2 linked regions of the Oryzias latipes genome follow. The protein of the gene in region 1 interacts with the protein of each later gene in a biochemical or structural test. Links are inferred from orthologs where the notes say so. Each region holds a gene or a part of one and is shown on either strand. Other genes may lie near its edges.

Region 1 (3,481 bases):
TTTGAAGCTTAACAAAGCACTTTTCGTTTTCTAAACATCCAATACCCTATAAAAAGTATAAAACCAAATTTTCTGTTGGTAAGAAAAAGTAAATTATAACCAAGCTCCATCCATAAACTAGGTATATGGCTCACTAAGTGAAATCAACCCAACAACTTGTATATCTTAAAAACAGATTTCTTTTTTTTCTCCTTTTTTTAATGGACCGTGAGAGTCCAACTTGCTCAAATCCAAGCCCCAGCAGACAGCATCTTTACAATAAACCTTTTAAACTGGGACAGGAGGTTATTAGTTACTAGATTACGGAATAAATGACCAGAACTGGAGGTGATCTGGATGTAGTTTATGTACACGGGCAGAGAAGTAACGGGGGCCATGATGAAAATATCATACAGCAGTTTTGTGTAGCAGAGAAATTAAACCTTCTGCGTGGAATTCTGTCGGCACAACTGAGAGTCGCAGAGAGCCAGCTGCTGGGTGGCGTGGCATGCTGGCGAAGTTGAAGAGGAGGCTGGCAGCATGTGTGGCTGATTAAATCCGGCCCCCCGTCTGCTGTTGAAACACATCAATTGTATCTTCATCTTCCATTTCCAACTGTTGATAAAAGGGGACAAAGTGTCATACATACAGACATACCTTTCAGACATTTAAATACATCTAATCTTTAAAATAAGAGGGGAAATTCTCTACAATAAAGGGGGCAAAAAAAAGCAAATGTCATCATGTTCCATTCATGTGGAATGTGACCTTGGGCTGACACTCTGCCCCCTGGGCATATCAAACCCCAAAGCTGCATCAGAAATGACAGTGCGGGATGTTTTTATGACTACAGCATGCACACAGATTTGCCTTGAACAGCAAAAATACCACTTTAACCTCAAACAACAATGGTGTGGTTACAATAATACAATCATAGAAGTTAATTCAGTGCATGTGCGTTGGCCGTCGTAACAAACTCTACAAGTGGATAAAGGTTTCCGTCAGACATCTGAATGTAGATGATAAATCCTCTCTGCCTGTGGCAGAACAAGTTTCCCATGGAAGCGCTATTATCTGGCATCAAGACATCAAGCACGGCAAGCTGCTGCTTGAGGATATGAAATACCTGCATGGCCAACAAGTTTATTCATTTACACTTCAATATTCGGAGGGTTTTCTGTTTGCTCTAAACTGCAGTGAAGTTCTAGCCCAGAAAGCAAAAAAAAAATAAATAAAAAAATGGAATAAAAACCAAAAAATAAAAGAAGTAAATGGCCTGGTTTTCGTTAGAAATCAAAGAGTTTCTTAACCAAAATGTGAGTGTTATCTTGTTCTGGTTGCATTACTAAGAGAAAAATAATAAAAGAAATAAAATGAAAATAGGTAATAACAGAATCACATCATGGGTCTTAAACAAAAGAAGCCTAAAACATATGTGCTCATTTCTACAGAGATTCATGGCTTATTGATCAAACCCAACAAAAGAACCTCATGAATGTTTTAAACCTAATACATTAATTTAGAGGCTGCATTGATTTAGTCAGACCAGCTTTGGAACAAGAACTAAAAACTAAGGAAGTCCCGATCCGATTCAGAGTCATTTGATTTTGAGTATGTACCGATACCGAGGCCTGATCCGATATTATTGTAACACATAAAAAATGATCAAATGTAATGAAGTCAGGTTATCACAGATTTTTACTTTATTCACTTTCTTTAATTATTTAACACTTAAACAATTTGCCGCTGTGAAATAACTCAAAGAATCAAGCAAAAGTCGTAAAACTTTCAACTACAAAGAACAGTTAACTATAAACTAGTAAAAAATAGGAAATAATTATTCATGGGAGAAAGTTTGGTGACTGTAGCTTTAGTATCCTCAGAATTATTGAACATTTTTGGTTCTTATGTGATTCATACTTGCATTAAAAAGTCATTAAAATTAATGATGACTGTCTTTTAAAATTGTTGTTGTAACATAAATATTTATGAATAGCTCATATCAATGTAACCATTTATCAGTTTTAGTTTTTTTTAAATGGATTTCTTTTTTTTTTTCATTTTTAAATAACTTTTTCCCAGAGCTTTCACCTTTCACTGCCGACTTTCTGTCAGCAGCACGGAGAGAGCAATTCTCATTAAAAAGTAACCAAAGCTCGATCCCTTTTCTTTTTAAACGCCTTTCTAAGTTGTTGTTTGAGTTGAGACAATGACACTCGCTGTCAGTTTAAAGTGCTCATTTAAGAATTATTGAGCCTGAAGGTCCAAATCTGTGAATATCTTGCTAACCTTCTCAAACTGTCTTTCAGCGCCTCCTAGCCTCATTGTCTGCTGCACTTTATGGCAGTAAAACGTTGGGATCCGGTCAGAATTTGAAGACATCTGGTAAAGTGTTTATCTGTAAAGTTAAGATTGAAATATATAATAATGATAAAATAAATATCCGAGTCCTGATCTGATCGCAACATCGGATTCCAATCGAGTTTGAAACTACGTGATCACATCGGGACACCCCTGCTAAAAAAGATGAAAGAAATATTGTTCAGCCAATTCATCAAGATTTGCCTAATTTATGTTGCAAGTATTTAGCATAAATAGATAGATATAGCTAGCTAGCCTACAAATCTACTCAACAAGCTATTTATCTACCTATCCATTACTTTTATCTTCATCCACCCATATAAAGGATTTTTGTTATAACACGTTTTTGGGATAAACTCCACTGGCAGCAGGTTTTGCATATCATCAGTCCTACCTGTGCAGGTGTGTCTGTCTCATTTATTGGCTGTCCGTCGAATCTGAACCTTATTTGCCTCATTGAAAGTCCCTGCAAAGACAATACTTATTAATTTGTAGCAAAAGGCCTGCTTTCCGTTAGAGTGACTGGAACACATTTCCTGTTCATATACATAAAAAAAGCAAAAATTGTGTGGTTCTATTAAAAAAAACAATACATGTAATAAATGTATTTATTCATAGTTAATATACTAATTAATATGTATAATGTCACATGTTATGTATTATTAGCACAGACGTGAGACACTGAAGGAAAGACTGTTTTCCTACAACAGGTCAGAGTTGATTCACATTACACTGACAAACACACACATGCTGTGTCATACAGAGAAAATCAAGCTGTAGATTAAACAATAATTCAGGCTTTCAACTATTAGAACCTCATTTAACTTATAGGTTACATTTTCAGTGAGTAGAGAGAATCCCAGATCCTAAAGGGATAAGATAAGGAGTTTTTTGTTATTATTTAGAAAGATGTGAAAAGATGTAAACATTTCATGGTAATCGAGTTATAATCCTGAAAAACAACAGCGTTTATGAACCCGTTCAAAAAAAACAAAGCAAAAAAAAAAAACTGCTGCGGCGTTTACAAGCCAATACAAGAGCTACGAGCAATATTTTATATTTGGGTTCAGTTAGCTCTAACTTTTTTATAACTCAATTAATAATTCAATGAAACACACACATATATAACATAGTATAAAAG
Region 2 (3,579 bases), on another chromosome or scaffold:
AAGATCAAAAAGTCCTCCTCACCTCACTGGTAAGTCTTCTTCTGCCCCCTGCAGGTATAATAGAAAAATGCAACACTGGCATTTTAATTGTTCCACACAATTTTAGGTGAAAAAGCCGATTGTTTTAAATTGTAAATTTGTCTAAAAGTTCAAAACTACTTGAAAACCTTAATGGCATTCGCTTCTCCATGTTTTTCTCTTTGAATGAGAAATAGAATATTAGCTCACATTACAATAGATCTGTTGAATCCATTCTTAATGTCAAAATTTTTAATTTGATTTAATATGCAGATGGACACTTAAAAGCTCAATAATTCACATCTGATGTCAACATAATGTCCATTTATCAATATGAAGCTTTTTTTTATGTTGTCAAACTCTAGAAGCCCATTTAAATTAAATTGCAATTTAAAAGTTGTTGCAATACCACACAGAAGTATTGACAACCAAAGGACAATCCTTAAACGGCTCACTAAGGATCAAAAACATACAACACAGAAGTGAAGTTGTCTCAATAGCATTGAGGAAAATGCTTTATTTCACAGGTCAGAAAAAACAGAAAACCAGTTTTGGAGGGCCCATTGAGAAAAAAAAAAGTCTTTGTTTTCAAACACGGTTATTCAAAGTCATTTCTGCTGCAAAGTAAGCACATGTGGCTGAAAGTCCATAGTTTTGATGGGGGGGCACAGAATTCCTCTAAATGTCAGCATCCTCTCACTTGAAGATCTTCCCCTGGTTGAAGGATTTCCCCACATGTTTGAATTCTCCCTCCCAGGCAAAATACTCTTTGACCATGGTCTTGCACTCATCGCTATCTGGATCCAACTTGCGCCAGTCGTAGGATTCGTAGTCAATCTGCCAGTCTTCAGAAAGCTAAGAATGACAGGAAGCACATGTTTATCCAGAACCCCAGCATCTAATCTCTGAATCAATAAACCATTTGTCAGATTTTAATAGTCTCCTTTAGCCACACATCTCTGTACCTTCAATGCATTAAAGGGCTTATTTCATACAAACTCAACTTTTTTTTAACTTTTAAGGGCATTATAATCTTCATTCCTCACGAAAAGAAATCCTAAAGTGGTACTTTGATAAGTTCAAGCATTTCTGAGTATTCCTCTAAAAACGAGCGGGTCTTCACGATCTGACATACATAAGTGATCAACAGCACTTTCTAGGAGGAGTCTGCGCTGCCAGCTCCGCCTCCAGGCTAACACACACACACACAGTGGAGCTAGCATTGGTCGGCAAAAACGCTTTCCCATTACATGCACATATAATAATTTGTTCTTTATGATCATACCCATATCTATGGATATAGTTTACCCTGAAAGGCCTAAGAAAAAGTAGAATTACAGACCCTTTAGTGCAGATATAGGTTGAACAGATTCCACTTGTAGCAACAGCATGAACCAGTCTAACTCACTGAATCAGAGATGACTGGGATGAATGGAGCTATTATTTCTTTTCCCCAGTCAGATTAAGACTTAGTGCCATATCTGGACACCGCCTTGCCCAATGACAGGGGAAATACAACTCATCTCGTTTTTGCCTTAAACATTCAAAGGAATTTCAAAGGCATCCGTTTCCCTCCATACATGTATGCAGCATGCAAAATGAATATTTTCTGGAAGCTTTCAAATCACAATTCTGAAGTCTATATTTCTGCACTTACGGTGAAAGCCAGCTCCTGTCCTCTGAACACCCAGATGCCTGAGATGGAGCTGTCATTGTTGGTGCCAAACAAGATGACACTGGCAAAGGCATTCTTTCTCAGTTTGTCCAGGCGTTGGAACATACCTATGAACACAGAGTTTTTAGACATTGTGGCAGCGTTTTCACAGAACAAAGTCATAGCAGAGTAACTGCAGCTGTGGGTTTAAGAGTAACGTCTGCAGTAATCTACACAGACTTGATCAACACCAGAATATTGTACAGAAAATAAACGGTACAATGTGACCACAGCATGAACCAGCTTGTTTCTCACTGAACCAGAGATGACTGGGATGAATATGGTCTTCATTTCTCTTCCCCTGACAGATTAAGGCTGAATGCCAAAACAGGACACTGCCTTGCCCATTGACAGGGGACATTTTTTCATCATTAAACATGAACCAATGCAATACATGAAATATGTACAAATGCATTACATTTCAAAAATTCACTGTATTGATTTATATATAAAAAAAGACGTTTGAAACTATACCTTTTTTTATTTCAGGGATGTGTTTACAGCATTTAAGCAAATGAAATAAAAGATTAAGATCTGTTGTAAAAAGTACATATTCATTCTGTAAAGAGTAAAAAATCTTTAAAAAAAATGTATGCAGGTATTTTCAAACTAAAATAGATCATGATATTTACAAGGTTAACAGTGAAACTACTGCTATTGTTTAAAGCTGAGGACTTGCAAAACTGTGTTAAACTTACAGTTCTACATTTAAAGAGCAAAAGAGAGGGTTCACACACACATCCATTCCAGGGTGAGGTGTGTACAAATATTTAAGTGATTTGGCAGGTCTTGAAGTCCCGTTTAAAACCAACACACCCATGGCTTTCCCAGTACATCACTAGACTCACCGGTCATTGTTTTTAGACAAACATGCAGGATTTCAACACTAAAAGAAAAGTGGTAAAGGTGTGTGTAGATATCCATTTGGCAGGCAAACATATTTGAGAATACAGGAAGTGATAGGAAATGGGGCCAAAATACAATTAAAAACATTTCTGATCTTACTTTTTCAACAAAATAAACTTTACTATCAGTTATAACACATAATCCAGAAACCGTTTGAAGGGTGCAGCTCCTTTGTGTTGATCAAATAGATATACAGAATAAGCCTACTAAACTTATCCCTGCATTTGATCCACCCTTTGGACAAACCAGTTTTAAAAACCAAAACTGCAACACATTCACTTCAAGGGATGAGTCTAAAAACTAAAGGGTTGGTGCCATAGCAACATCACCATTTAAGTTAAAAATTGATTTGAAAATAAATGAAGAAATCACCAAAAATATCAATGCTTAGAACAAGTTCTTAAGCGAAGAGTGTTATGCACAAATTTCTAATTAAAATGTTACACTAAAATCCCCTACATGGTCTCCTTTATCTTCGTGTTACTGACTAAACAAACATTCCACTACTTTTATGGAAGATGCAAAAAGTAATGAATTGACAATACACCAGCCAACCCCTTTGGTCTCACCTGTAATAAGGTTGCAGCTCTTGAAGGTAAGTGTGAGTTCTTCTGGGTATTTGTACTGACTGTACCAGATGGAGTAGCCCTCGCGGTCAAAGTGCTCCCAGAAGTGAGGAATTGCTACAGTCAAGGTGTCCTCGTTGGAGTACTTTCTCTTGAACTCGTCAAAGACAAATGTGCTTTTAAAACAGAAACAAACAACACGGAGATCATTGTTCTGCTCTTAACTAAAGCAGAATTAAGACAGCAGACCATAAATGCAATTACAAAAACATCAAAACGAAGCCCAACATGATGAATGTCTACCATTGTTTTACATTTACAACAAACAAATGTCAAAATAAATGTACCATGTTTCAGCATGACTTTACCGTTATC

Evidence for each region. The genes of interacting proteins can lie anywhere in the genome.
Region 2: the proteins of sumo2 (region 1) and eef1g form a complex in vitro, tested with the Homo sapiens proteins (2 studies listed by BioGRID). The link is inferred for Oryzias latipes from reciprocal best matches to the Homo sapiens genes SUMO2 and EEF1G.

What each region holds. Positions count from the first base shown.
Region 1 is NC_019866.2:13,026,841-13,030,321, reverse strand, and holds the end of sumo2 (small ubiquitin-related modifier 2), read right to left. Parts: intron 2,807-3,481; coding exon 2,735-2,806; intron 595-2,734; coding exon 532-594; 3' UTR 515-531; downstream 1-514. UniProt on the Homo sapiens protein: Ubiquitin-like protein that can be covalently attached to proteins as a monomer or as a lysine-linked polymer.
Region 2 is NC_019868.2:13,730,086-13,733,664, forward strand, and holds the end of eef1g (elongation factor 1-gamma), read right to left. Parts: intron 3,381-3,579; coding exon 3,208-3,380; intron 1,801-3,207; coding exon 1,676-1,800; intron 874-1,675; coding exon 715-873; 3' UTR 502-714; downstream 1-501. UniProt on the Homo sapiens protein: Probably plays a role in anchoring the complex to other cellular components.